7 linked regions of the Daphnia pulex genome follow. The protein of the gene in region 4 binds, or shares a complex with, the protein of the main gene of each other region. Links are inferred from orthologs where the notes say so. Each region holds a gene or a part of one and is shown on either strand. Other genes may lie near its edges.

The links.
Region 1: mediator of RNA polymerase II transcription subunit 16-like (region 4) and mediator of RNA polymerase II transcription subunit 20-like share a complex: the UniProt entries of both Homo sapiens proteins name them as parts of the mediator complex. The link is inferred for Daphnia pulex from reciprocal best matches to the Homo sapiens genes MED16 and MED20.
Region 2: mediator of RNA polymerase II transcription subunit 16-like (region 4) and mediator of RNA polymerase II transcription subunit 21-like share a complex: the UniProt entries of both Homo sapiens proteins name them as parts of the mediator complex. The link is inferred for Daphnia pulex from reciprocal best matches to the Homo sapiens genes MED16 and MED21.
Region 3: the proteins of mediator of RNA polymerase II transcription subunit 16-like (region 4) and mediator of RNA polymerase II transcription subunit 24-like are in contact, whole or in part, in a cryo-EM structure (PDB 7EMF), measured with the Homo sapiens proteins. The link is inferred for Daphnia pulex from reciprocal best matches to the Homo sapiens genes MED16 and MED24. Residues at the interface, in NP_005472.2 of Homo sapiens: His29, Cys30, Pro31, Ser32, Arg52, Asp54, Asp55, Gln56, Glu82, Asp102, Val126, Glu127, Gly128, Asp129, Pro130, Val184, Ser185, Leu187, Thr203, Glu204, Ser205, Cys207, Arg208, Leu209, Arg210, Gly211, Arg212, Asp232, Gly233, Ser234; in NP_055630.2 of Homo sapiens: Ile539, Leu540, Asn541, His544, Pro545, Glu593, Arg629, Met630, Leu631, Gly632, Leu633, Asp634, Glu635, Asp676, Gln679, Gln680, Thr681, Ala682, Pro702, Pro703, Lys704, Arg705, Pro706, Ile707, Lys708, Glu709, His737, Met738, Gly739, Gly740.
Region 5: mediator of RNA polymerase II transcription subunit 16-like (region 4) and mediator of RNA polymerase II transcription subunit 23-like share a complex: the UniProt entries of both Homo sapiens proteins name them as parts of the mediator complex. The link is inferred for Daphnia pulex from reciprocal best matches to the Homo sapiens genes MED16 and MED23.
Region 6: mediator of RNA polymerase II transcription subunit 16-like (region 4) and mediator of RNA polymerase II transcription subunit 4-like share a complex: the UniProt entries of both Homo sapiens proteins name them as parts of the mediator complex. The link is inferred for Daphnia pulex from reciprocal best matches to the Homo sapiens genes MED16 and MED4.
Region 7: mediator of RNA polymerase II transcription subunit 16-like (region 4) and mediator of RNA polymerase II transcription subunit 8-like share a complex: the UniProt entries of both Homo sapiens proteins name them as parts of the mediator complex. The link is inferred for Daphnia pulex from reciprocal best matches to the Homo sapiens genes MED16 and MED8.

Annotation. Positions count from the first base shown.
Region 1 is NC_060026.1:11,659,383-11,664,092, reverse strand, and holds the end of mediator of RNA polymerase II transcription subunit 20-like, read left to right. Parts: intron 1-1,828; coding exon 1,829-2,094; intron 2,095-3,212; coding exon 3,213-3,323; intron 3,324-3,540; coding exon 3,541-3,633; 3' UTR 3,634-3,638; downstream 3,639-4,710. UniProt on the Homo sapiens protein: Component of the Mediator complex, a coactivator involved in the regulated transcription of nearly all RNA polymerase II-dependent genes.
Region 2 is NC_060027.1:1,945,695-1,949,047, forward strand, and holds mediator of RNA polymerase II transcription subunit 21-like, read right to left. Parts: upstream 1,683-3,353; 5' UTR 1,590-1,682; coding exon 1,548-1,589; intron 1,472-1,547; coding exon 1,259-1,471; intron 1,182-1,258; coding exon 1,020-1,181; 3' UTR 943-1,019; downstream 1-942. Other genes in the region: nudix hydrolase 8-like, read right to left, coding at 1,859-2,038, 2,107-2,333, 2,390-2,600, 2,664-2,755, 2,824-2,992. UniProt on the Homo sapiens protein: Component of the Mediator complex, a coactivator involved in the regulated transcription of nearly all RNA polymerase II-dependent genes.
Region 3 is NC_060019.1:9,364,010-9,366,857, reverse strand, and holds the end of mediator of RNA polymerase II transcription subunit 24-like, read left to right. Parts: coding exon 1-12; intron 13-81; coding exon 82-179; intron 180-246; coding exon 247-463; intron 464-545; coding exon 546-694; intron 695-754; coding exon 755-996; intron 997-1,082; coding exon 1,083-1,273; intron 1,274-1,341; coding exon 1,342-1,479; 3' UTR 1,480-1,702; downstream 1,703-2,848. Other genes in the region: bestrophin-3-like, read right to left, coding at 1,717-1,913, 1,980-2,727, 2,802-2,848. UniProt on the Homo sapiens protein: Component of the Mediator complex, a coactivator involved in the regulated transcription of nearly all RNA polymerase II-dependent genes.
Region 4 is NC_060021.1:617,904-622,748, reverse strand, and holds the start of mediator of RNA polymerase II transcription subunit 16-like, read left to right. Parts: upstream 1-1,700; 5' UTR 1,701-1,859; coding exon 1,860-1,951; intron 1,952-2,035; coding exon 2,036-2,191; intron 2,192-2,255; coding exon 2,256-2,454; intron 2,455-2,529; coding exon 2,530-2,770; intron 2,771-2,824; coding exon 2,825-2,989; intron 2,990-3,064; coding exon 3,065-3,408; intron 3,409-3,485; coding exon 3,486-3,642; intron 3,643-3,713; coding exon 3,714-3,921; intron 3,922-3,981; coding exon 3,982-4,124; intron 4,125-4,189; coding exon 4,190-4,389; intron 4,390-4,457; coding exon 4,458-4,650; intron 4,651-4,845. Other genes in the region: delta-aminolevulinic acid dehydratase-like, read right to left, coding at 1-145, 217-337, 951-1,197, 1,268-1,389. UniProt on the Homo sapiens protein: Component of the Mediator complex, a coactivator involved in the regulated transcription of nearly all RNA polymerase II-dependent genes.
Region 5 is NC_060019.1:10,887,593-10,892,445, reverse strand, and holds the start of mediator of RNA polymerase II transcription subunit 23-like, read left to right. Parts: upstream 1-1,823; 5' UTR 1,824-1,920; intron 1,921-2,090; 5' UTR 2,091-2,178; intron 2,179-2,401; 5' UTR 2,402-2,622; intron 2,623-4,853. UniProt on the Homo sapiens protein: Required for transcriptional activation subsequent to the assembly of the pre-initiation complex. Component of the Mediator complex, a coactivator involved in the regulated transcription of nearly all RNA polymerase II-dependent genes.
Region 6 is NC_060026.1:12,376,052-12,380,183, reverse strand, and holds mediator of RNA polymerase II transcription subunit 4-like, read left to right. Parts: upstream 1-1,478; 5' UTR 1,479-1,602; coding exon 1,603-1,670; intron 1,671-1,963; coding exon 1,964-2,078; intron 2,079-2,134; coding exon 2,135-2,254; intron 2,255-2,313; coding exon 2,314-2,485; intron 2,486-2,546; coding exon 2,547-2,848; 3' UTR 2,849-2,994; downstream 2,995-4,132. Other genes in the region: transcription initiation factor TFIID subunit 13-like, read right to left, coding at 1-46, 201-296; beta carbonic anhydrase 1-like, read right to left, coding at 3,195-3,318, 3,380-3,465, 3,524-3,763, 3,828-3,967, 4,033-4,117. UniProt on the Homo sapiens protein: Component of the Mediator complex, a coactivator involved in the regulated transcription of nearly all RNA polymerase II-dependent genes.
Region 7 is NC_060023.1:11,386,603-11,390,536, forward strand, and holds mediator of RNA polymerase II transcription subunit 8-like, read left to right. Parts: upstream 1-1,704; 5' UTR 1,705-1,842; coding exon 1,843-1,866; intron 1,867-1,932; coding exon 1,933-2,073; intron 2,074-2,132; coding exon 2,133-2,229; intron 2,230-2,294; coding exon 2,295-2,422; intron 2,423-2,482; coding exon 2,483-2,705; intron 2,706-2,773; coding exon 2,774-2,874; 3' UTR 2,875-2,912; downstream 2,913-3,934. Other genes in the region: protein CutA homolog, read right to left, coding at 1-139, 197-278; probable 28S ribosomal protein S25, mitochondrial, read right to left, coding at 972-1,140, 1,205-1,292, 1,347-1,590; early endosome antigen 1-like, read right to left, coding at 3,045-3,278, 3,347-3,522, 3,590-3,773, 3,842-3,934. UniProt on the Homo sapiens protein: Component of the Mediator complex, a coactivator involved in the regulated transcription of nearly all RNA polymerase II-dependent genes.

The sequences.
Region 1 (4,710 bases), on a different chromosome or scaffold from region 4:
CAAAAGAGAAGGAAAGAGAGAAAATATTTTTATATCAGGTGAAAGAGGAGGAGGTTATACATGAAGTAGAAGAAGAAGAAAAGAAGCGTCCATAAGTTGATTGGAATGCGTTGAATAATTCACGAGCTGGATTGATTTGGTTTAACACAGAAAAGGGCAGCAGCAGCAGCCACCACACCAGGAAATAAAAGAAGATGTATCCTATTACCGGGGGGGATGATGTGAGCCTGATGGAATATCACCAAGTTCCTTGTAAAAGAAGAAGAAGAAGAAGAAGTGAGCGAGAAAGCACATTGGGTTGGTTGCCCTTTTGTCGGGTGTTTGGGATCTCTACTCGATTGAGATTGGTCAGGGCCTCTCTCTTGATCTAACTCTGCGACGTGGTGTGGGAATCGTTCGTGAGAGATATCGCGTGTCACGAACCGATTGGGCCTAAAGAAGAAGAAGAAGTTTTTCTCCAGCCTCATCTCGTGTGAGAGACAGACGCAGACTTTGCAGCCGGGGTCCAACAACAACAACAACATCCCCCATCCCAAAAAACAGCAGCAGCTCCGGTCGGAGTAAGAAGAAAATCTCGCACACACAGTGATTTCCTCCTCCCCGCAGAGTTCCTTCTCTTCCACGTTTGAAATTCCCTCCTCTTTCCCCCCCCCCCCCAAAAAAAAAGACATTTGAATTACACTGAAAATTTAAGTTTCCCGCGTCATGAGAGAGCGTATTGGAATAGAATTGATTTTTTATTTCCAACCAAAGAAAAAAAAGCAGAGGGAGGCTGGAAAGAATCCCAGAAGAAGTAGAAGCCACTTGATGTCTTATCTCGAAGCAGTATTTTTTCAAATGGCTCTTTTTTCTTTCTCTTCTTTCTTAGCTTCCAATTTTTTAAAAAACATTTTATTTTGATTTTCTATTTTGAAAATAACCAACGCAGTTAATGGGTAGAATGTGGGCAGGAAAATCTGAAGAGGAATCCTTGTTCTTATATTCTTCTTCTGGCTATATGTATATCCACATGCACGAATATATAGAGAGATATACCTGCTTCACGTCTAGATATCAAGTGGACGGGCGCTACCGATCCGCCCAGCTGCTATACACAACACAACAACACACATGACTGCCTACCGACTCCGTGCTTTTGTGGTTTCCTTGTTTTGTTTGATTTTTTCTTTCTTTTCTTTCTTTCTCCCTCCGTCGGGGGTGGAAATAGAGGAGGAAAGAGAAAGAAGAAGAAGAGATAAGTTGATGGTGAGGTTTGACGTCACACTCGTTGAAGATTGAGAACAACTGGCGCGCATAGTTATTGTTTTCTTCTTTCTCTTTCTCCCTAATGCCCAAGGTTTCCTCCCGACACTTGGCGTGCGCTTTAGTTCTTTTTTTCGTGGGGGTTGTTGTTGTTGTTGTTGTCGTCGGTAGCGGAGGAGGAAGAGGAGGAATAGAGAGACGGGGGCGACGGAAGGCTGCGGCTGTTTGTGGTTTATCTGACATGTTGGAGAGTTGCCCGCAAGCTTTTTCGAGTTGCCATTTGCGAGCATTTCCAACCAAATCCTCCGACGAGATGGAAAAAAATCCGAAAAAAAAGGAGAAAGAGACAGACGGGGGGCTAGGCGCCATCATCATTATCCGGCGGGACTTGACTGATGACGCCATCAACTTGTCTATCGCCCTTGTTTTTGCAAACTGCCAATCTGGCTCAATTTCTTTTTTTCGTAGGAAATTTGATTTCTCTCATGTCTTGTGATGTGGGAGGGTTAAACGCCAATGTGTTTTTATCATTCATTTTCTTTTTATTATTTAAAATCATTAAACTTTTGGTTTCTTCATTTGGCAGGAGCGCCGAGATCGGTGCATTTGCTGCACAATTCCGAGACGCCGGCCTCCGTGTTCGCTCTGCTGGAGGCGGCCAGCGGCAACAAGACGGTGGCCCTGGTGGCCGACAACTTGTTCGACCTGCTCATGCTCAAGCTCTCCAATTTCTACACGGCCAAGAAGCAGACCAAGATCGAATCGAGAGGGCCGCGCTTCGAAGCCGGAGACTTCCTCGTCAAGCTCGGCTCCGTCACCATGGGACCGGCCTTCAAGGGCATCCTAGTCGAGGTATACATTAAACAGCAACCCAACCAACCAACCAATATCCCACGTTAGTGCATAGACAATAACGACATCAAAAACTTCCATCTCTATCTCGACTTGACGCTGTCGATTGTCTCCCTTTTTCTTTCCCTACAAGGTAATAATGATGAGAGGCTTTTTTCTGGCCTCTTGAAAAACAAGAAAACCCTTTGACAACATCCGTTTTCTCTGTGTGTGGAGGGAGAGCTAGAGCTAGAGCTTTTCCAGCTTCTTCTTCTTCTGTGTTTACAATCTCCGCGTGATGGTTCTTTTTTTCCGTTTTCGGTCATCCAGCACTAAATATGCAAGCGCCTCTTTTTCTTTTCATTTCACTCGGGAAGGTTTCAGACAGTTAATGAGCTTGTCAATATTGAATTAAAAGTGGGGTTGGGTGGGAGAAATTTAATTATTTGAAATGATCAAATCACTACGAGTCTACGAGCTGGCTCTGACGGGTTTGGGCTAATATTTGTGATGATGGACGCTTGAATAGAGCCACAGAGAGAGAAGGGCTGAGTCAATGTTGATGTGAAAAACGGGAGAAAGAAAAGAGACTCTGTCTCGTTTTCTTGGTTTTCTTGGTTCTTTGATTATTCGTGACTCGAGAGAGTTCCTCGCTCTTTTGGGTGCCTCTTATTATCGTACACGAGCCGAGTGTGTTGGCGCTGGGGCGGGCTGATGTTGTGAACAAAACAATTGATCATCCATCCAACCATCGGGGCCTTTTTATTTCTCTTTTTCCATTGAAGAAGAAGAAGAGAAGAAAAGAGAAGAAAAACGCGGCACAACTGGAAGGCGCGTGATATTCTCCGTCTGTGTTGTTACGTCATGGGCTCTTCTCATCTTCTCCTTGTTTCGTTTTATTTTATTTTTTGGTTTTGTTGTTGAGATGTCATGGAATTTCAAATGAGTTTTTGGGGGCGAACATTTTCTGACTCGGCTGAATATTGATTTCATATACTCCCGCTGACACTCGCAACAACAATAATAACAACAGCCAGCCAGCGACGTCTGCAGGGTCTGTTTATATGGATGAGAAACAATTTTTTTGTTTTCCCGATCGATTCTATCGGAGAGATAACTTTTGCCATCCGTTTTGACAGGTGGAATATCAAGCGTGCAGTCTGCCGGCCGCCTGTTGGGATCTGATCCGCGAGTTCATGCAGGGCTTCTTGGGCGGTTGCGTCCCATCTACTCCGCCTCCGTACATCCAGGTCTGCTCCTTCTTCCTGCTGCCCGTCTATAGGCTCAAAACAATTTTATTTTATTTTTTTCTTCTTCATCCCCATCAATATCAAATAAGAATTTACGATGTTTGCCTTTCGTCATGTTGTTATTATTCCAATTCGTCTAACAAAATTTTTTTTATTTTTTTCTCTATTTTTTTCCTGGATGCATAAATCTTTTTTCTGTTCCGTGACGGACCATCAGAGCCGATTCGGCGACATGCTGGGCACTATCGACGGCATCAATCAGTACCTGGAGCAGTTCAACGCTTTCCGCAAAACCACCGGCATCCGATAGATCGACAAACACAACAAACAACAACTCTATTTGCCCTTACACAACAACAACAAAAACGCGCCATTGCTACAACAAAATAAAAAAGGAAAAATACAAATAAAGAAAATAAAAAGAACTCCGCCGCTCCGGTGTTTTTCTATGTTACTTGGGTACAACTCTATTATCCATCCTTTTGGAAAAAGAAAAAAAAACTAAATGTTTTTTATTTTATTTTCTCTTTAACCGTGTTGATTCAAAAACCGCCGTCGCCCACCTTTGCACACACACTCGACCCTTCTTGTATTTTTTGGACTTTTTTTTCAAAGTTTCCCGCTTTTCTTCCGGGCGCTTTTTTTAAAAAACTTTAAGTCAACAAGAAAAATCAAGAGGACAACTTTCTCTCTTCTTCTTCTTTTATTGTGTTGATTTTGTGGGCTTCCCGTTTCTAAACAAACACATCATCACCTCAATGGATGGCCATTAGGGGTTCTCTGTTGTGTGTGTGTGTGTGTACCAAGTGCCATTTGCTATCCTCATTTTTTCCCGGAATTTTTTGAACATTATTTAAAAAATGGCGCGGTTTTTTCCCCCCATTTCAAAAATTCAAATTGCTGACTAGACACAAAGGAGATTTCCACGGTGTATGCCGTCGTGTTCCATCTGCTTTGATATCGTTCTCGGTTTGAATGAAACAAGAGACTCCGACGACGTCGTGCCACTTGATTGCGGGGGGGTCACAGAGGAGTCGACAGTTTCTGATGTAATAAGAGAAGTAAAAGAGCGACGGTGGATGCTATTTCCAGCAGGGCTGTATACATATATATATAGTCTAACAGCAGTTTATACGGCGTACGAAATCACTCTCTTGAAGTGTGTTGTTTATGTGTACACTCTCTCTCTCTTGCCGGCGTCTGTTTTTGATCTGTTTACATGTTTGGAATAGCAGCGCAAGACGTTCGCCGGCTTATACCTGATACCACACAACTTTTTCCATCTATCTATCCTGACCTTTTGGCTTCTTTTGATTTCACGCCTGTGGCATTTCCCCCCCCCCCCCGGTATATATTTATTTATTTTTCTATACACCGTGGCCGCCGT
Region 2 (3,353 bases), on a different chromosome or scaffold from region 4:
AGAACTCGTTTAAGAGTTGGAAAAAAGAAGTGAGGGACCTTTGCGAGCTGCACTCTTCCCCCTCTCTTTTCTTCATCTTCCTCCTCCCTTTTAGTATTTTTTGTTTTCTTTAAAGAAAAACATTTAAAAAAGAAGAAGAAGGGGGGGATATACACACACACACAGTTGCTGCCCCGAAGCGGTATGCGGCGCTTCTTCTATAGAACTAATAAGACTCTATATATTCCCCAGTTATCTCATATTTATCCTGAGCAACATCAAAATTTACCCTGGAAAATTCGTGAAATAAGAAAACAAATTGTTCAAACTCACCTGAAATTCTGCCAAACGTAATCTTCTCCAAAGACATAATCGCTGAACGCAGACACTGTTGTTGCATCAAAAAAGGGTTGGGGAGGGAGAGAGAAAAAAAAAGGAAGTGGGGAGACTGAACGCCACCCACTTCCAACCCCCTTTATTTTTCCCCCTTCTTACCGAACGACCGGAGATCGCCGAAAGGGGTCGGAGAAGATGGCAGCACTATATTTATACACACGGGAGAATTTTTTCTACTTCTTCTTTTTTAAAAAATAAAAAGCTAAACAACATTCTATCGTTTTTTTTTTCTCCTCCTCCCGCTCCCCCCTCCTCTTTTTTTTTGTTGCACGCCATTCCTAAACAAACGGACCGCGTGTTCTTTCTCTTCTTACGAGTGAACAGCAACTTCTCTCCCCCCTTCTTTCCATTTTGGGTTTTCTAAAGGAAGACAAAAAAAGAAGTGGATATATAAAAGGTTGGAATCCTTTTCAAACAGTTTCTTTTACAATCTGTCACCCCATCTTCCTTCCTTCCTGAAATGACTTGCCTCACCTGTGTGTGACAAGAATGTTCACTCAATATGATTTTGAAAAGAACAGATTTAAAATTGATGTTGTGGCGGAAACCAGAAATGAAACGAAATTCTTGCAGAGCAAATTGTTTGTTTCATTTTCTTCTTTTAAATATCAAAAATAGGGAACTAGAGCAAATAATGGTTGGATTTAGGAATTTGGACCTGTGCTCTGCATGGCCAGTTGGGTCTGTGCAATGTCGTGAAGTGCATTCTGAATTTTCTCGAGCATCAGCTCTCCTTCGCTGACAACCTCCCTCAATCGTGCAGCGGCACTTTCATTTTCATTCTCCAGCCTTCTGAGACTTGCAATCTGCAGCGATTGAATTAATTTTAGTCAACTTCGTAGAACATTGCACCGACAGAATACTAATAGAACCAAGTTTATACCTGCAGTTCGGAGGTAGAATCTTCACTGGGTAGTGAATCGATTAGGACGTCAATATCTTTGGCGCAGCGGGCAATCAATGTGGCAAAAAGAGAAGCGTGATCTTCTTGTTGTTGTTGAGGTGTTCGATTGCCTGCTCGATCGAAACCTGGGAATGTAGCCGGTGGGGCGGTTTGTTGCAAAATACCGATGGCATTGCAGAAATTATCAGCTTGCTAGAAACAGAGAATTAAACCACGAATTTGAGACGATACACTTGGCAATTTCGTCAATGCAATCAGTTATAAATACCGCATTTATAGCGTCTTGGAGTTGTGTCAAACGATCAGCCATTGTTGATGGAAATGCAGAGATGAGAAAAGCAGATGTGCCGGCTATTACGCCACCTAGCGATGAATCTGATAACTTCAATGCCAAATTTAAACATTCACAACCTGTATTGTGAAATTAATTCTACATTCTGATGATTACAGGAACTGGGCAGTAATTTACCGATCTGCATATATAATTTGTTAAAACAACAATTCAAGCTAAATATAATGCGTTATCTGATTCCCGTAACAGGCACTAAAACAAAATACTAGAACGTGATCCTGAACACATTACAGTTTAAAATTTTGTTTTCCTTCAACTAAGTAAATTTGGCTATTGCTATTAGTCAATTGATGGATAGATTCCAGGCAGTTGATTGCGGGATTATCGCCATCGGCAATCGCCATTAACTGTGTAGCAAAGATTTTCCCAACTTCGAAGGCAAGCGGATGAGTCGCATATTCTTTCAGCTAAAATATTTAAAATTCAATTACACAGACTAGGAATAATTGAAAATGTTGACATTTAGAAAACTAACCGGCATCCAACAAGCGTCGCTGAGCTCACGAGGACACATTTTGATTTCTGTGCTACCTTCAACAGGTCTGAGATAAGTCACGAAATAAATGTCTGAACAGCCGAACCTTGCACTGGGATTCTTCTCTCTTGATTGCAAATGCCGCACGGCAACGAGTGAAACGAACTCTGTCTTAATACCAGTCTCCTCAAACACCTCCCTCTTGACAGCAGTAGCAATACTTTCCCCTGTAAATTTAATAATTGGTAATGATTGAATGTTAATGATGTCTAAATATACATACCTGGATCTACATAACCACCAGGGAGTTTCCAGTGTGGTCTTTTGTAATACCTTTCCTGAACCACAAGAATCTCATTCTTATCATTGACAACCATGGCTCCAGCGCCTACCATTGTGTGTGCATAACTAGGCACTTGACAAGGTTCGTCAGAAGGCAACCATTTGAGCAACACACTCAACTCTGGGTTTGCGTGATGGAAAGAAAAGCCATTCTAAGAAAATGAATAAGGTAATGCTCGTGCAGTTTTGACTAGCAATAATTCTTCTTTGACTACCTGAATTAGTACTGGAATCCATTCAGCACAGGTTGGTTCCACTTCAAACCAGACTCCACGAACTCCAGTGGTGGACCAGACTTGCAGAGATTCTAAAAACAAACAAAACAACTATTACATAAAACAAATGATGTGTTAATATATAAAAATAAATTTGCACCTTTAAGAAGCTGCTCCATTCGGTTCCTTTCTTGTGGCTCTTCGCTCGAGCGCACAATGATTCCGCCGAAAAGATCCTTGGCACCTTGGAATGTCGACATTTTAACAACAATTGATTTCGTCTTGGCCAGAGCGCTGCTCAATAAATGACGAGCAGCAGTAGCATTCATAACACCCGTTCAATAAATATGTCATCACGGCCTATCTCTTCATCTATACACAGAGTCCTTTTTATTCTAGAGGCAGGAGATATCGTCCAACGACATCGTATAATATTTATGTTGACATCGTCTGCACTTTTATGTCCCGTGAATCCGAGTTGCCACACATTTTCCCTCTCTTTTCCGGCTTCTATTGTAAATCTCTGCCTGTCTTTTCCAACAATAAATGATAAATAAATGATACAGACACTTTACTAGAAGGGCATGAAATACAAATGCCAAGATTATGTATCTATCCATTTTTTCTGCCCATGTTATTTCACCAAAACGACCTGGCAAGTTGCGAATTTCGACCGCTAGATGGCCAAGT
Region 3 (2,848 bases), on a different chromosome or scaffold from region 4:
TTTTACATCCAAGTAAGAAAAGATCCAATTAAAAAAAAATCAAAAAGATTCGAATTAAAATACGGTGGACATCTCCTTTAGGTACAACCAGCAAATCTGAAAAGTAAGCCCACGAGCATGCTCGATCATTTGATGACTTCCCTGAATCTTGATGACTCTAAAGAGCATTATAGGGAAAGGTAAATTACGATAATGCCCTAACAAATGATTTTTCGCGTTCACTATAAAATTCTTTTTTCCATTAAGGTCAGTATTGATGCTGCAAATCATTCGGCGTCTGGCACAAGACGACAATCCCCTACAAAGCGTCTCAGAGAATCAAGATCAAAGTTTGGATCATCAGTTAACCAAATTATGGAATAAGATTTTAAATCATGGTTGGTCAGACCATAGCACAACAGTGGGTATTGATCAACTATTCAAAATTGGTGGAGCAACATGGTTGGTCACTTCTTTGGTCAAGGTACTTAATCAAAGAACTTTATCCTAGACAAGCCTAGCAGGTATGGGTATGCGATTGAATGTCCTTTCTTTGTGTCTCGCAGGCAGTTATTAAAGAGCAATCTTCTGACAAAAGACAACGGTGCGTCGAAGGAGCGCTGTCAGTTGCACATTTAGATTTAGAAAGCTGTGCCATTTCTTTAGCAACCAGAGTACTCCCATTCCTACTAACTCACTCCTCAATGCTGGCCAGGTAAAAGGGTTTGGCCTCAGCGTAATGCCAATCCCAGTTAACATTCCTTTTTTATTTCAGTGACGAAGAAACCGGTGGACCAGGCGGCAAAGCGTTAGCCCAGTTGACTGTCCTGCTGTTTACCGCTGCGTTGAATAACCAGTTAGCCCCAGAATCCGACTCATCCAGCCCTTCCAAAAAGTTGGGTTCAAAACGTTCAATCGATTGGGATATGAATACGCCGGGTTTTCGATATCCTCCTTTGAAAAAGATGGCTCTTCATGAGGAGGAATTTGACTTTATGTTTGTAGCTCCTAACAGCGGTAAGTTGTTGATTTGTTTTGTTGTTTTTTTTTGTTTGTTTTTTTAAGATTATTTGAAACCCTGACATATTGATATTTGTTTTCAGCCCATGAAAATAATCCACTCTCCAATGCAATTGCAAATTTAATGCAATTAATGACCCGAGCCGCTGGTGAAGGCATTATTACTCCGCAGCTTGCGTTCATTAGTTATTTCATTCAAACGATGGCAGAAATAACTTCAATCAAAACCAAAGAAGTCATGAGACCTCTTTTGACCTTAATTCCTCCAGCTCTGGTAAATCTTTTTTTTTTACAAAATTAACGTCGGAGTTTTCTTTCAAAATCTTTTTCTACTTCCGTAAGGTGTTTTACATGCTTGCCGTTTGGCCCGGGTTAATGTCCATTTCAGATGTTGCCAAACTGTTGGCTCATCCCGGCGATGAAATGGGTGTCGGGAAAATCGCTGCGCAGATCGTTTGTGCATTCAAGAATATAAATTAGTCCACAACAAGGAACAGAAATGGATAACAATTTTCTGTTCAAAAAGTATTCGCTGACCGACTTCAAAGTGACGATACTCTTATAATTTTGCTGGAAATCACCTTCTGAGCATTTCGCCTACTGTGGAAATCTGAGAGAACGAAAAATTCGCATTGTCAAGAAATTGTAATTTTCAATTTTTGTTCACATCAGTTTCGGAATATAATGAATTTTCAGTAAGAAATCAGCTATGTTAGCTTATGTCAAAAAGAAGGGGCTGTCTTCTGTTGTCGAAGTTGGAATTTTAATCCCGTAGGAGTTGCGCAAGCGTACCGCCCCATTGATGTGGCCTTCGAAAACGTTTAGCATATTGATGTCGTCTTCATCGTTACCAAATGGGTCAGTGGCAATTCGGCCTACTTTGAGCCAGGCATAGTAAAAAAAGAATGGCAAAGCTGCAATAATAAAAGGTATAATATTAAAACAACAAAACACTTTTTGAAATTTGTGGTCATTCGTACCGTAGGGCAACGGAAAATAACCACTCATCACCGATGTCAAATAATGTTTTTCCGCTATTTGATGGGACAATATAGACACGAGTCCGTAACAATAGATGGCAATTGTCACAGCTTGAATCAGGGCAACAGGAATGTTCTTTGTAGCAAATTTAATTACTGTTCCACCACCTTTCTTCAAGGCCTGGATAGCATCGATGTTGCGACCGAAATCATTAGCAACGAAAAAGTATCCTTTCTGAGAAGTGTCCCGCAACAATCCGTTTAACCAATCGTAGACGACTAGAGAGCACGTCCTCGAAGTACCGCCAGGCTGCCCTTTGTGCTTTTCCAGTAAAAGTCGTTCGTTCTCGCATAGTAATCCTGCATTCTGGATTGCCATCAGATTAGGATATCTTTTTCTCAATGGTTGGCAGACAATGCGGAATGTGAGGAGCCACATAAGCAGAACGTAACGGATGTACAGGTCAACTCTGGCACGACCATCCGCAACTTCTTCTTTGAGCGACACAACGAAAAGTGTGATCGCTCGGTTGGTTCCAGGCATACTAGACATTATGTTGAACCAGCGATTAAGTGCTGTTGAAGTGAAGAAACCCAAGAGCAGAACGACGGGCAAGCTAGAAGTGTATCGCGCCAAATAGCTAGCCACGGCATCAAAATTTGCCTGGCCGCCAGTGTCCAAAGCGAAAGCGTAGAACAATGTGATCGATACGTAAATGAGGTAGTAGATGATGGCTTGCTTCCAAACCTAAGAAAGAATAATCTACAAACATTCGACACCAGGAGTTTCTTTGGAATACAACAACACAAAAAGGCTATTACCAGCTTGAAGAAACTTTGCCGCCATCTGAAAATACCGCGGAGACTTT
Region 4 (4,845 bases):
CGGAAGGGCCCGTAGAAGCAGGAAGAGAATTTGACAGCGTAGGAGAGAACAGAGACTCGGCTGGCCAGACCGTTGTCCTGCAGAATCTTTTTTATGGCGCCCACACGGCCGTCCATCATGTCGGAAGGGGCTACTACGTGGGCCCCTTTGCGAACCATTTGCAATTTAAAAAGGTAAAATAATGGATAAAATTCTATCTAGTTATGGAAGTAATACCTGATTTGGCATATGCTAATGCTTGTTTAGCCAACCTTGCAACACTGGCAGCATTATCTATGGTACCGTCGTCACAGAGGATTCCACAATGTCCATGGATGGTGTATGCGCAAATGCATACCTGCATTTACAGATAAATCAAGGCGTGATTCCCACAGAATAAAAAAGGATGGGTTCCGTTAGATAAAGAAAATTCTCAAACATTGACTGAAGCTGGTCTGTGTTCGAATTAGCCCAGACACCGATCGTAGCTGACAATATTCATATTAGTCTGCACTACTGAAGCACCGCACTGCGGTACTGGAAATGTCAGATTTCAGCGGTAGCGAAATTTGGCAATTTGGATAAATAATTCTAAAAGTAAGTCAGATCTTAGCGGGCATTGCATAGTAGAAATATGTAGCCTGTCCAGCAACAACTCTAATCAACATTTTGCTACGTTATTTATCGAAAAACTGTTGGATGACAGTTACGCCTGTAGGGTTTTTTGTTTATTCATGGAACATCTGTGTGTGCCTGACTTGTGTTACTTGATACGCCACCGGCTAGTTTGTGATGAACTTGAAAGCAAACTAGATAAGATTGACTATCAGGGTTAACCAAAACTTAAAACTCCAAAGAATTATCTCTAAACATTTATCCTGAATTTTCTATCCTCAATCTGTATAACCTTAATATTATAACATTGTAGTGGAATTACTTAAGATTTTAAATAAAATTGCGCTACAACTTACATCACACGCAATGAGTAGATCGGGGAAAAGTTGTCGAAGCTTTTGGATGGCCAAAATGACTGGGTTCTCAGGATGGTCAGCCGCCGAACCGAATTCGTCTTTCGGCATTGAAAATGGCACACCGAATAACAAGACAGAACTTAATCCCGCTGCGACGGCAGACTTTAAATGATTTTCGAGACGATTAACTCCGAATCGATAAATGCCAGGCATCCCACTAATTTCCTGTTCTGCTTCAGGGTCATCTCTTTATGTTATATAAGAGTAAATTAATGTCTGGCTAAATTTTTATAATGAAATTGCATTTAGTTACTTACACTATAAATAAAGGGTACATCAAATTGTTCGGTTTAATTGTTGTATCGGAAGTTTGCCATGCTCGTAGAGTCGCGTGAGAATATCCGCTGTGTAAGATATGTGTTATTGGGACTTCAGACATTCTTAACTAATCTTGTGGTGACTACTGAATCAATTCAACTGAGCACACTGAATGCCCAAACTAGATTGCTCTTCTTTACTCAGACTCCCGTCTTGCAATCTATCCTCGTACTACATTTGCATATTACTAATTTCGGAAAATTTATACCAAATAAAATGTACTTTATAATTATTTAATATAATTTATTCAAAAACATTTATACGTATACATCAAATTATAATTTTTTGCGATTCGTGCGAGTTTCATGTGGAAAAAATAATCAAAATCAAATCAGCGCATTTGTAATGTGCTCCGTTAGATGGCGCCGCAGAGCTCAGAGAAATATTGCGTCTGCTAGGTCTTTTTGGAATGGCTGCTAACGTTGTTTGAATGTTTATCTATTCGTCGCGTTGATTTCTGTCATCCAAAAAATATTTACTTGATTTGCAGATTGTCTTAATCTCTGCATTGAATTCGTGTTTCCATATATTATGGATCTGATCGCTGTTGTCCGACGTAGTCATTATGAAGAAAGCCCCAGGAAACGCCAACGATTAAACACGGGCAATTCTCCGTGGGAAAAGTGATAACCCCTTCACATTCTATTTAGTGCTATTTTTAATATTATATTGTATAACTCTTAATAAAATGTGGTTATCTTTTGCAGTGAGTCTGATATTGGGGTCACAGCGTGTGCCGTGTCTCCTCAAAATGTTATAGCATTTGCTTGTTATGGAACACTGAAGAGTAGTACAGCAGGTCCAAGTGACCAAAACATGAATGTTGTTGTTTGTGACGCTAATACCCCATGGGATACGCATATGTGAGTTTGAAATGTTAACAACTAGTTCAGAAAATTTGAAAAGTTATTCTGTTTTATTTTCTAGTGTTAAGAGCTGTGTGGCACAAGTAACTGTTCTGGAATGGGACCAATCTGGTCATTACTTGCTTATCGGTGATACTGCGGGAAATGCAGAAATCTGGACAACACTCACACATCTTTTGAATGAATGGACCAGAGTAGCTAACATTTGCATTCCAGATGAGCCAATCCAGGCTGGAATGTTTTTCTTTAACGGAAAGAAAGTAATATACAGTTGAAGTAATTTTATTTTTCAAATTAACCCTTTACATTTTTTTTTTTTTTTCAAATTTGTTTAGACATTTTTAAATTGCCAAAACCGGGAAAGTGTGTCATATCTGGACAAGTATATTCAAGTAGATATGAAACCAACTATTCGCGGATTCGGAGGTCGTCCTCTACAAGGTTTTCTTGTTGTTGGAATGACTGGCCTTGTGCAAGCTTTTGTGATGGGTGGTACTAAAGGGAAAACAACAAATGTAGAAATTCTTGGCGGAATACGATTAGCATATTCCTTTGTGGATCTTGCCTGGACAAAAGGTAGTTGAGTAATTAATTCATTACCAGTTTCTTAACTCATGTACGGTCTTTCAGATGGAGAAATATTAGCCGTAGCATGCACGGGAATCCCTTTGGACCCGATTGTATATTGCAAGCTTACCATTCAAAAAGATGACGGAGTGGAATTCAGTTGCCTTCTTGATGAATATCGTCTTCGTTCTGAAACACTCACTGGACTTTTCCCCCTGCAGTCAGGAGGTAAATTTGCTTGAAATATCGAACATTTTGATTTTGGTTTTTAAATACTGAAGGTGTCTTTCTTTTCAAAATTAGCCAACGAAATGCGTGTATGTGGTGTGAATTTCAGTTCACGAGAAGATCCATCGGGAATATTCCTAGTAGTAAATGGAATTAATAGTGGAACTCTGCAGTATTGGGAGCTGTCAGAAGTTGAACGAACGATTCATTCACTCTTCTCCACTTCGGCTGCCATGAGTCGCTTCCTGCAGTGGCAGTGTATGTCCGTTTTCAATTGCAACAGTCGAATCACCTACGTCTGTCCGTCACGCAATGTCTGGGTAAACGGCCAAGAAGCGGGTAGCCCTCCACAGCATCATTTAGTCATCGCCACAGTATGTGGAGAGTTATTGTGCTTATATCGCGAGAGTATGAAGCAGGTAGATATTGTCTATCTAGATTACGTTGAATAGCGCAAAAATTAATAACATTTCATGTGGACACGGTACGTTTTCAGGTTGGACACCTCAGCATTGTGGATAGGTCGAAATGTGAAAGCGCCCAATCGAAAACGGTCAGCTCGGCGTGTTTCACTGCCACTGGCAATGCATTGATTGCCTTCGATAACACTGCGACAATGTTTGTCTGCAAACTTTCTCCCATCACAGATCCTGGTAAGATTTTGGCATAGTCTTCGGCAAATATCTGAATGAAATAAGTTTTAAACTGTACAAATTATGTGTAGGAGCTTCGGTCACCATTCCTTATGCATTAATGTCATTGGAGTATTGTCTGCTGACTGGTATCGACTATTGGGACGTTCTTATCGGTTTGCGATCGACGATGCTGGATTCCCTGTGTGAACGATTAACCGACTCCTTCAACCAGCAATCTATTGGATTACAGCAATTGCTGCAATATAGATTGCTCAATATTAAATTGGCTATCTTCAGGTAACTAATAGAATTTTGTTACGAGTGCCATTAGTAATTGATACAATTTTTGGTTAAAAGGTTGGGTCCAACTGCGAGTTCAAAGGCCGGATTGCAATACGGTATTATTATGCTTAACTCAGTATATTACGCACTGAAATCGCTGCTGAGGCCACCATCAGAGCTCTTTAATCAAGATAGAGCTCCTGCAGATAGCCTTACTGGTAAATAATTAATGATTAAACATCCATTTCTATACATGTAACATGTGCTCAATATTTTCAATTAGCTGTGTTGAGTTCCAAAGTTCCAGAGGTCGGCACTGAAGTTGACAAAGTGTTGCTACACTTGGAAGTCAAAGAATTTACAGTTGAGGCATCAACTCTCATCACAGTGCAACATCTTATTCAATGGACAGTCACCTTTATTTTGAGGTTATTGAACAATTTGCCCGATTGGCGAACTGCAACCACTACACGAGGAACAATGGTAATATTTGACGTTTCAAATTATTCGTAATAAAAAGCGTTTTATTAAATCGGTTGGAATTCTTTCAGTGCGACATGCTACGTGACCCTAAACTACTCAATATGTTTCGAGAACTATTGGTCATATTCAGGATTTGGGGCTTGATTCGTCACTCGTGCTTGCCTACTTTCAGCTACATGGAGAACGTTGATGTCATTGCCACACTGTTTCGCATTCTAACTCGACTTCTTCAAACATCAGAACCTGATGAAAGCCTTTTAGGTAATATTTATTCAAAATTTTTCCTCAAGAGATTGTTGCTGCACCGACAACGGTTGTCAGGTTTAAGTTACAAATCAGTGGTGGCTGTGGTTAACGCCAGCCACGTCCGGAAGGATCGACCACTTCCTTGCTCGATAAAAATTCGTTTCTCGTAGCCCAGAAAATCAGAATATATTTTTCTCTAGTCGTGACTAG
Region 5 (4,853 bases), on a different chromosome or scaffold from region 4:
GTGCTCAAAGACTAAGTATCTTTCTTCAAACGTATTACAATTGAGTTTCTTCACAACGCACGGTCTTCTCCAGCACTTTCGCCCCCTAGCACTATATACTTTGAGCGTGCCCGCAGCTACACACTCTAGTCAAAAGAACGCCCGCTGTATCCCTCAGGTAGGATGGTTGTTGCCGTTCGTTCGAAACGAGCTTAGTCAAGGTTAAAAATCTCCTCACAACGTTTCGGTAACACTAGACAAAGAGCGTAGAACATTCACGTGTTGTTGACGTCACATTTCCTGGATATCTCACGATTTCACGTCCACGAAAATGTCATATTTATTGGTTCACGGAGTAGTACCAGTCTATCATGGGTATCTTTCACACCGTTTCCGGTCTGTCTGTTAAGTATTGAGTGGTTCGCGTTGCTAGTAATATATCCCAATTCTTTAACAACTGCGATTGTCAAATAGGAAACCGTCTCAGAGGGACTCTGAATTTTTATAGTAACTAGACTAATTCCTCCCTCCAGCAAACGGTCCGTGACTGGAACTCTAGGCGCAAGCTTTGATGTTTATGGGCACTATCACGAAAAAACAGCCTGCGGCCTGCAGACTTCGAATTCGCCGCCTCCCAAAAGAAAATTTATTCTTCTATGTATTTGTGGTTTGTGTGGATGTCTATGTTGGCGTTCAATATTTGCTCAACCGAGCGAATCCTCAAAGCAATAGCAAGTTTGAATATATACCGGTAACCGCCAGTAACTGGTTTGCCTATACCAAGGTCGCAGGTGGGACGCAAGAACAGAGCAGCAGTTCACGCAGACATATGGTTCGAGCGTGAAGTAGAGTCGACCTTGGCAACAGATCGCGACATCAAATTCCTTGTTGGTCGTCGTTCCCGAACGATTTTCCTGGAGGTAAAAAATGCGTTGATTGCGAACGAAATCTCTTATTTGAGATCGAGAACTGGTTGTGAAAAATTGGAAACACCTTTTTTTGTTTCTTTCTTCCAGATTCTCAAAGTTTTCTTGAGAAGAAAAATCATTAAACGTGTGTTACAGCTGACATTTCGAAATTCTTCTCATCACGCCCTTGAAACTGCTGCTGCTGCGCTCGTATGCAGATGAAGTCGCGTGAAAGTTCGTGTTCAATGTCGAAGGGCCTTTTCAAATTTCTAGTTCTATTGGAGCTTTTTTGCACAAGTCCATGATGGGTATAAGATGTTACAGGATGACGAAATATCTTTAACGCTTGGGGTTAATTCATGCGTGATCGCAAATTTTTAAATTTCAGGCTTTTTTGACCGATAATTTATACGGTCTCAAAAAATGCCACAACAAGCTGAGCTTATTTCCCGAACGACATTTGAAGGATATAGCCTTTTACGTTGATAGTAGTATAATATCCTGGTATTTGTATGTAAAGATAAGAATTATTTTACACGGACGCAAGAAATGCTATTACAAGCGGAATTTTCCCGAACGACAGTTGAAGGATATAACCTTTTAAGTTCATGGTGGTATTATATCCTGGTATTTGTATGTATTATGTTTGTATATGTTTGTAAGATAAGAAGGAAATTATTCCTTCTTGGCAGTCATTTATCTGCGGGTTTCGTGTAAATATTGAATTTTTTTCTTGTCTGTGGTAGGGTTATTAGATCATTCTAAAATAATTCCGATCCCTTTAGCGGATGTCGAGTGCGGGTGGGAAAACCACTTTTATCGTATTTTGAGTGGGTGTTTTTTATATTTGTGGATTTTTTAAATAATTTATATCGATATTTTAAGAAATAAATGGCTAATTAGGAAGTTAGCGTCGTCTGCTGCTTTTGTTTTGTTTAGTTTCGAAATAAACGTGGTCGTGTCCACTCTGTGGTCACATCTCTTAGGCCTACTCTCTTTACAGAATCACTTCGTACACACGGCTGATTACCAGGTAAATAAAACTAAGAATACCTATAGAATGACTATAGAAACTGAATTTCGAAGAATTAAACCTTTTCCAAATTTTTTTAAATGTTAGTTCGTCCTGACCAGCATTTATCATTTAAGCCCCTCTGTCGATGCATGGCAGTTTGTTTGTTCACTATGTAACCTTTTCCTTAGTGCATATTTGAGGCCAGAGACAGCCATCAACAAGATATGATGTAACCATAGACCTGTCATCAGCAGCAATCTCAGCATCATCGCTTAGGTAATGATTTTCATTACACCTTACTTTTATTCGAGTGGTGTGTGACCTGCTAGATACTTTAATTGTGCAATGTAATGCAGGACTTGCAAAAATGCAGTGTATTACATGTAAACCGTCTGTTTATTAACAATCAAGTTTTACTCACTGTCTCATTTTAAACTATTCCTTGCTTGTTGTTTCTGCAGATATTTTTTCGTAACCCATTTCTTATTTTTTTAATTAGTTTAACAGCATCCCGTTTGGATTCTGGATTGAGAAACTATCGATGTTGGCCATGTTACGGGTCTCTTCTTCCCTTTTCTTTAAACGGCCTCGTGTATGCCCATGTGAGTGTGGGTGTATTCACGAGGCCGCCCTTTAATATCCTATTCAATTATTCTGCGGATGGATGGAGAGCACTTGTGGATGCCTGTCCCGCTGTCCGTATATTTCCCAGGCCTGAAGGTAGGAAAAATGTATTCCTATTCTTTATTTTTTGACTGTTTGTTGGTGTTAAATCGTGACATAGTAGCCTACGGAGTACGATTATTCCTGAGCTAGATGCGGTTAACTGGAGTAGGTTCTCTTGCGGTTTTTGTTTACTCACTATAACTCAGTAAGGGTTCATTTAGGCGAAGTTTTTGTTTACTCAGTAAGTAAGAGTTCATTAAATTTTAGTGTTGCAGAACGACTGCAGGTCAGACCCAGTTTTGTACCTTACAACTTTGTCTGTTGTTGGTTCACAAACCTCAAATAAAAAAATATTTGAACTTTAAACACTTCCAGCAAAGTGCAACTAGAATTTATTTTTTTTCCCAAGAGAAACCTGCTAGTTTTATCCAACAAATCCTGTTCGAGGAACCTTCCAGCATGACGGTTAAAGAAATTCGATGCACAACGCTGACGTCATTATTTTTCCCCGGTTTCGTTCGCCTCAGGAAAATTGCCTCCGTCAGCCACAATTTTTTTTTTATTCACTTGACGTCATCAACATTCATTGTTTGACGTCACACTTGTGCGTGAGTCGATGAGGGGCGCGCCAAAAACAATTAAGTGGTGGTTCTCTCAACGCCATTTCGCAACCACGGGTTTTTCCGGTCACGCTTATTGTCAATTTACCTCACACGTTGACACCCGCGTTATTGTCCTATTTTGAGTTGACAATTTTTTGTTCACATTGTTTCTCCTCTTCTTCGACGAAATTGTTCTCGGTAAAGTGACTTGCTAACTCGACATTTTACACTTTCACGTAAAACAACTTCAGGTGTTGTTTGGAAATAGGGCAGTATAAGTCGACTAATTTGCAAAGATACTATAATATATTGTTCACACAATAGAGATAGCGGATAGTCACACTTTTAGCAAATGTTGGCTAAACGCCTAAACCTATAATGATTGGCCTAATTTACCATTCCAGCACCGCCGCCTATTGTCAACCAGGCGGTGTACCATTCGTTCACAATGGGGAAAACATCTCGGCAGGTTTCACGACAATTTCTTTGATTTTATCTTCTAACTTTCTTCGAATTTGGGTTTCAGAATTTTCGAAAACAGTTAATTTATTGTATTTTTCCTTGTCGCCACATTTTTCTGCTTTGCTTTAATTGTACCGGTCATCAATCTTACAACAATACGACGTGTTGCAGCACATATGCGGCTCGGGAGATTCTACTTCCTCGAGTTCTTTGTGTCGGGATGTTGTCGTAGTGAATGAAGGCGAATAAAACTCCAAGGGCAAAAATCTTAAAAAGGAGTTTGGACTCTGTTAGGCACTTTGACACAGCGATAACCACCATATACGTAAATCTCATGACAAAGAAAAAGGTAGAACTCGATGAAAACCGGAAAAGGCGATGTGGCATTTGCTGAATATAGCTTTAAACTATTAACAAAAAAAACATCTTCCAGCCGACCGGTCTCAGACAAGTTTACATTAGCTTTTTCATTGACATTGACTTTAAAGGACCTTTGACACATTGCAGAGAAAACTAGGTGTGGCGTTTTGAAAATCGAAATATTGTACCGATTTGATTCACCGGATTCATTCGCAAATTAAATATTTAATCATTTTGTATCTTTTGCAAGCCGGAGCACTGCGAAATGCGAATACGAGGCTTAGAAAAATTAATTTGGCGTTCACACAAACACAGTTGCAATCGAAAGCAAATAAAGCATTGAAGGTGACCTTCGAAATAATGTTCGAATCGTTCGCGATGCGAATTTTTAAACACCTTTACAACATCCTCAAGCTTTCCGCTTTGAGGGCCGTCAGGTGAAGAATGATTTAGCATTCATTTCGGCGAGTGTCTATGTGCTTTAATAGCGTGATTCTCACATTGGATATCACGTAGGCACATTTCTGTTCGTCTGACTTGCCAGTCGAGTCATCGTGAAAGACAAATTTCCTTGCAGTTTTTATTTTGTATTCTTTGTTTGATTAATTAATGTCAGAAATAACGTTAATCATCTCCTTGTTCTTCAGAGTTATAAGGGGATTTTGGATTTTAATTTGAGAAAATATTTCCCGACATAAACTTTCTTATTTATCCATCCTTTATTTTTATATCTAGCCTAAAGGATGAGTCGCGCTCGGGGCTTGTTTTTAAGCTGATATAAATCACAATCACATTTGGGAGGACGTCGCTTTGGGCTACCATCCGCGCCTTTTACGTCGTTCTTTGTAACTTTTAGAAAGA
Region 6 (4,132 bases), on a different chromosome or scaffold from region 4:
CTGATGAAGTGGATCCATAATGCAAATCAGGTTCATCATCATCAAACTAGAAATTGAAACATTTAGAAATTAAATGAACAGTAAAGCATTAAAACAAATTTAAATACAAAAATTTCCACCAGCAATATGTTATATGTACCAGCAAAACTTTCAGCTGGAAATTACTTAAGATTTAATGTAACTTAAAAGAAGAAAATTACCTGATCATAGTTTTCATCTGGATTTTCTCTTTCTTTGCTGTCTCTTTCTTTCTGTGGGGACGAAGTCAATGAAGTATTCACCGAGGGAGAAGACATTTTGAAATTTGATTACTAAACGAGTAAATGTTAGTGGGTTGGAGAATTTTCGAGCAATAAACGTCAACAAATCAACCACTGCAGAAGACACTAGGTAGGTTAGTAACGAAAACGGTTGCCAGATGGCTGTAAAAGCACTCTTGTACGTACTAAAATCTGCTTTCTTGTAAAAAAAATACATTGCGCGGCGCCTGATTACGCATTCAACATTGAAAAATGTTTATTGGTTACAAAAAGCCAGAGTTATAGCTCTGCAAAAAGCGTCAAAGCAAAAATTTCCTCGATTTAAATTAGTGTCGTCCATTTTCATTCAGTTTGAAATCTCCAACGTAACTCGGCTTTTCTACGCCGTTAGCGTACATGGCAACATCATACTTGATTCGATATGGTTTATTGGAACCTTGATTGTAAAATAAGGAAACAGTGATACGAGCTTCTACTTGTTTTCCGGGGTAAAATTTTTCAGAATCCTCAATCATCTTGCGGACTTCAAATTCGAAAGATTTGTAGGCACTGTTGTTGAAATTTTTGTGCATGGGGACGAGATTATTTACGTCCGATCCCGATCCTCCAAGCATTTTGGCAATGATATGCCCGGCATGATAGTCTCCTTCTATACCTAGTTGTTTTTTCTGCTCATTGTTTATGGACACTGTACTTCCATTTCCAAAATTTTCCGACCGAACAACCGCATAAACTTTGCGATACTCGTTCTTCTTCTCCAACCTTAACTTTGACAGACTTGTCATTCGACATTCTTGTAGACAGGAACTGAACCAAGAATCTGTAACACAAAATGTGTTTTAAAGTCCTCATAACTGGAGATTCTAAAGTCGAATTGCTGGACTATATACTCACCCAAGCAAACAAATGAATGTCTTTTCACTCTTTCCGGAGTTTGTTTTTGAGAAATTGCTCGGAAAACTTTGGGCGGGTCAGACGATCAAGAGCGGAACAGCGGATTCCTGCTGTCTGTTTATGTTTACGAAATTCGATTCATAAATCGTCGCCAGTGTTGCATTATTATACACTTCAAACATATCTCATTACTATTATATTTTTTAGTTTCTTTTAACGAAATCACGTTGTAGAGCGGTGATTCGACTCCGAATGAATCCATAAATAAAGGATAAGGAAATTTAAAAAAATACGTGGTCAGGTTAAATCTAGATATGGCAACCTCACTTCTCTAGTTGTTGTTGCAGCCGTAGCCGAGCCGCATTCAAGAAAAACTAATTTTGATTGGAAAGTTTCACTTACCTGTTTTTATAACTATTTCTATAAAAAGGAATAAAAATAACTAGACATGACTTCTCAAAAAAGTACCAGAGAAGTATTGCTTACTTGCATCGACGATATCGAAATCATCGCAAAGTAAGTTTTTCTTGATTTGGCTGCCTTTGTTCGTCGACTATTTTGATCACGTAGTGCAATTGTTCTTCCTTCAAAATTTTTTTAATGAAAGTTAAAGCCTCAGATCTATCTATTGTTCATTAGCATGATATATTTATTTATCTTATTAGGTAATCATACCATTGTTTACCTGAAATTCAGAACACTTTGTCACACTCGTTTGTATCATACACTGTTTTGAATTTGATTATTGAATTTTAATCTTCCAAAATATAATTGTCACTGTACTAAACTTAATCTTTTTAATTTATTAGGGAACTTTTGGACAACTTAATAGCCCAGAAGCAGCAGAAACCTATGAGTACTGAACACTCTCAACTTGTTGAATTGGTTCTTCAAAAAGACACTGATCTTAAGGCAACACTTAAGGTAAAATTATTTGTTTTTCATAATTTTTTTCAATGCTAATTCTTTCTTTTATTAAGTTGGCTGAAGAACAAGGTGTATTACAACAAAAAGTAGTTGCCTTAGAGACAGAAGTTGAAAGGCATGATGTTGAGATTCGAAATCTTCAAAAGCAGCTTAAGGAGGCAGAGCAGCTATTAGTAAGCTATTTTTAATTATTTTGTTGGTTTTAGTATTTCATAAACTTACTCTTTTTCAGGCTACTGCAATCTTTCAAGCTAAGCAAAAGTTGCAATCAATCACACGGGCGAATAACAGACCTGTAAATTCCGAAGAGTTGATAAAATTTGCTCACAGAATATCGGCTTCCAACGCTGTTTGTGCTCCTTTGAATTGGCAGCAAGGAGATTTACGCAGACCATATCCCACGGGTAGAAATTTTTTTTTAAATTGCTGTCCAGTAGTTTCATGTTGTTTTGTGGTGGTTTTCAGATATTGAAATGCGGCTAGGATTTTTGGGCCGTCTTGGTGAAATGAATGTCAATGGACACATGAGTTTTCCAGAACTTTTGCATCGTCCTAATCATTCTTTGCAGCAGGGGTCTTCAGTTCCGAATTCTCAAGCAGGCACTTATAGTTGGTTATCTCAAAATGACCTGCAAATGCCCTGTTTGTCAGTTTCACACTTGGGTGTGAGTGGTGGAATGGATCACAAAAATCCCAAGAAAGAGAATGAAGATGTCGACGTTATGTCTACGGACTCGAGTAGCAGTTCATCTTCCGATTCTCAGTAAACACGTGAGCTAACAATTTACACTCTGTATCCTGCGCGATTGCTTAATATTGTTGGTAACCATCCTGTATACTATTCTACTTTCGCATTTCTTTTTGAAAACCTTCCTCATTCAAAGGTTCGTAAAATAGATAAATATTTGTGCAATTCCTTTTTCGAATTGTTCAAATTCTTTTCCATTATAAAGTTATGCAACAATTTATTTTATAGTTAACTTCTCACTATTTACAAAATAGCTTTAGAATCGAACTCCCCATATAAATTCAGGAGATGTGCGTCATCTCTATAAAAATACCTAGATTTCCATATATTCTTCAGCATAATAACCCGAGGCACGTCGGTTAAGGTCACACAAAGTATTCGCGTATTTCATCGAGCAAATAATCGGATGTCTCTTCGCTTATCTCCACAAACCGTTTTTGCTTGCGGCTAAAGACGTAGATGTCTCCGGTATAGATGTCGAACCATAACCTAGTATCATAAATTTCAACATTAAACACTTACGAGTAAACGTTTGATACATGATACATACGCGTGAAGGTGTACTCGCCCCGAATTTATGGCACTTTGAATGAAGCTATAACTGGCAATATGCTGTAGTTGTTGCAATGTGTTGAGCTGAAAAAAGATAACCCAATTAGATTTGTAGACATTACATAACTTGGCATAATTCTACCTGTGAGAGCTTATCTGTTAGACTAAATTTATTGTCAGGGTCTATGTAGGCAACAAATTGTCTGAATGGTCCCTCCATTGGGAAAGTCAAGGGCTGTTGGAAACCATGCACTTCTAACCTCTCAAATTTAGTTAGAGAAATACTACCATGGCGATGAAGCCAAGCTTTAAGTGGAGATCTCTCGAGAGTTCTCATGTTGGTTTCAATTCCTTTTTTAAAACTATACAATAGGTTCATAGCCTGAAACAAAAGTTGTGTGTCATTATGTTTATGTTATCATTTAACAAGTTTATGGTTGACTGACCTTGCAATCTGAGTGTCCACAAACAACCATGTGCTTCACATTATTTACAATGCACCCCAGCTCCAGGGCTGCTGGTTCAGTGGTAGCTGAATCAATTCCATACAGCTTCGAGTGAGGAACCAGATTACCAGCATTTCTAACTTATATTTACAATGTCCAGGAATATAAAAAAGCAAGCAGTATATATACTTGTGTTTTAACATACCTATGAACATATCACCAACATCTGTTTGTGTAAATCGAGTTGGAAGCATTCTGCTGTCCATACAGGTAAAAAACACTGCTTTTGGCTAGAAATATACGAT
Region 7 (3,934 bases), on a different chromosome or scaffold from region 4:
TTTTTCATTGAAATTGCTTCATCTGCAGCTAATGGCAAAAAGATTTCCTGTTGTCTCTCAGCATCAGGCAAGTATCCTGTAATGTACACTAAATCCAACTCATCACACTGATGTATCTTCACATCTTCGTTCCCCCTAACTAAAACAGTTTATGAGAAAAGAAAATTCAACAACAGAATATTAACAAACATTATACCGAATTTAAGATCTTTATAAAGTTGTAACACCAAAGCTTTTTGTTTTGGTGTTCGAAATGTCATATTTTCTATTAAGTCCATTTTGTCAAATTCGGAATCAACAACAACTAGCTATTCGAGGGGCTAATTCATTTTTCACTTTTCAGACGACCGCGAGAAGCCGAGAATTGACAGAAGCAGACATCACACGATCGAGAAACAAAGGAGGAACGATTCTCGCAACAACAAAAAAAATTATTCAACAATATTGATATCATATTATTTTTAACATTATGGATACAATTTAATTTAACACTTGCAAAATGATTAAATTTTCTGGTTCTAGTTCCAAGTAGTTTTTATCAATTATTTGCGTAATGCATACTTCGCAATGTCGATAATCAGAAAAACCGTCTGCTTCAACTCTCAAGCTTATCACAACCAAAGTAAATCTTAAAAGCTGCTATGGAAAGATCAAACAAAAAAGCTGGTAAAATGCAGTTCATTAAAAGTTTTTACAACGACCCTTTCAGATGGTAAGTTTTATATAATCCCATTAACTTATGAAACACTCACTAAGAGAATCTTTTTTTATCTTAGGTCGTTGGTGAAGAGCGTGGCTTTGTTCGCCTTGGGAGTAAAGATTGCACGCGAGTGTGTCGACATGGACTTAATGGCTCCTCAAATGCAATAACTACGTTAATTGTCAAACAGTTTAATAATAAAAGCAGAATTGCATAATATTCTCAAAAATTTTTTTTTATTTGACTACATTGTGGGGCAATTGTAATTCATTTATAATTCATCTGGCTTTTGAAACTTGTACTTTCCTCTCCAACTATTTGGCAAAGGAATAAGAGCTGGGCAAGGTAACTGACCAGGTACCTCACAGATGCAATGTCTGCTGCATTTAGCTCCAAAATTAGCTGGGTTTTCTATTTTATCCTCAGCTTTCAGTGTTTCTCTAGATATCAATCAATTAATAATTATTTGGCATTTAATCTTACATAATTGTTTCAACAACTTACTCTGATTTGCAAATAATCCTGCGTACTCTTTCATAGATCTCATCTTTTGACTTGAAATCAACATCCATTAGAACCTCTTCCCCGTTTTCTGAACATGAAATTTGTTACTTATTTGAAAAAAATGTAATATTTTTTTAGTTACCTAAATAACACCGTATAAATGGACTAGGAGTCAAGTTCTTGAAGGTAGCTATCTGAATATTGGGGTTTTTGTACTGTAACTGAGGCAAGTGCCAAAACACGAATTGTCGGGCACCTTCGTGATTTTCACCTTTTGTGTTGTAGTTGATCGAAAATATCTTGACTCTATCCTTTAACACCAACTTATTTCGGTCTAAATACTCCAAAGTTCTTCGGATCGGAGCAGGACCTTTCATAAACGGCATTTTATTATGGGAAAAACTATTTTACTCGACCTAAATGATAATGAGAACTTGAACAAATAATTTCTCAAGCAGACGAACCAACGGAATGGCTAAGTCTTGATAATTTGACACTAGAGGGCTTATGCAACAAACGCAGACGACATTTTTGTGATTGACATTTGGTTGAAGCTAGCAAGCAGCAAGCTACAAAAGCATCACATCAGTTTATGTGAATTAAAACTTAAAAGAGCTTTCTCATAATTTATAACCAAGATGCAGCGTGAAGAGAAACAGCTGGTAATTATATAATTTAAGAATTGAGGTAAATTTTCATCCCAAACTTACAAAAAACGTTCAAATCAGGAAGCCGCTTTGGAAGCTTTGCTTCAGCGAATTAATGACCTAAAGACTTCTATCCGAACTCTGTTATTTCGTTTGGAAAATGAATATGGATCCCTCAGTTGGCCTTCTGTTTTGGATAGCTACGCCGTTATATCTGGCCAGGTAAATTATGCTTAAGACATTAGCAAGTAATTCAGACTAATTTTAAATCGTCAAACCAGATGAATACATTGCTGAAAGTTATGAAGAATGATAAAACTCCACTTTTGAGAAACCTCATAGTTTTACCTCTAGTTTTGAGCCCTGATCCAGATGAGGGTAAAGTTGCACTTACTATGCATACTTGCTGGTATGAGTGATTATCATCAAACATTTATTTGTAGAGCTCAAACAAGCAACAGAAGGGCGTGTTGTGGCCTTTTCACATGACATAACACCTGATATGCTGAGAACAAAACCTGATCCAGATGTGGAACAACGTCAAAATCAATTTGAACAACGTGCTCTACAGGTAAGAATACTTTTAACAGAAATAATAACATAAAATCTTACAACTTCTTTATTGTTAAAGGTTCCACCAGAGACAGCACAAAAGCAAATCAATGCAATGAATAAAGTGGTCAATCATGTTTTGGAGCAAATAACACATTCAAGAGAAGATTGGGAAAATGAAGCTACTGTCCGAGCAAATGCAGCCCACACTTGTATTATAGCCGATACGCACGCTCTGATTGCTGCTGTGGGATTGGGCAAGAACCTTAAAACCCTTCCTACAGCTGCTCCAACTCAACCTGGTGAGTTAATTATGCTTGCTTTGCTTCTAAAATTGCAAAAATTCCAACACATCGTCTTCAATATAAAGGTCCAGGACGCGCACAGCCTGGTCCGGCTCCAGGGAAAACAACAAGTACTATCAAGACAACCATCAAAGCGGCCAGCCAAGCGCACCCATACAACAGATAATAGGACTAGACCAAATACACATTTATTTCATATTGAAATCAGAATACCAAACACGCCTCCCTTATAATATCTCAAATGGAGCACTTCAATCATCGTAAACTGAACATAAACACTCATAATTAACGTCATTAAAAAAGGGGGGGAGGGCGACACGGAATATAATAAGTATTTTAGCGCGGAGAGTTTATAGTCAACTCCTTAAAGCATGAATCGCAAACCCTGACGGGTTTCCGGCTATTACCAACGGCAGTCGATTTACTAGAACACTCGTTGCAAAAGATTTGGCCGCAGTTGCGGCAGTGATGTTTCCTAACCGTTAGATTAAAACCTTTTTGGCAGCTCAGACAATCATTCACTTCGGAATCATCCGCCCACTTTCGGCCCTGCAATTTGGCGTTTTCCATCTGATGTAACGAAGAAAACCATTTTGTCAATTTATAAATGAAAATGTTTGTCGATTTTTTATTTATACCTGAAGACTCTGATTTTCTCGGCCGAGTTCGTGTAAAGCAGCTTGCGAATCTTCTAGGCGACGACGTAGTTCAGCAGCGTTGAACTTAAGTCTGTCCACTTCATTCTCCCATTGATTGCAATTGTTTTGCAGTTCTGTTTTTCCCTCCTCCAGCAACGCTACCCGAGTTTCAAGCTCTGCATTGGAAATTGATTTAAGCACCATTAAAAACAAAACCCAAATTAAAAAAAAAAAAAATCATACCAATCTTAAGTGTGTGATATTTCTCTGCCGATGCCTGTAACTCTTCACAGCGCTGATAGCGGGTTGCCGATAGGTCTTCAGCTTCACTTAAATTACCCTTCAGCGCCTTAATTTCTTCTTCTAGCTTCGTCTGTTTTTCTAACCACGCACTATTTTCCTTTGCTCGTCCTTCCTTGGCTGCATTCTGTTGAATCAACAAAGCCATATGCAACAATCGTTTCATGAGATAGTTTAAAACTTTTGATCTCATACCAATTGTTCGATAAGCTGATTTTTGTCTTTTAGCAAACCTTCCGATTCATTTTTGATCCGCTGCAAATGGATGCGATGCTCAGTCGTTTGCTC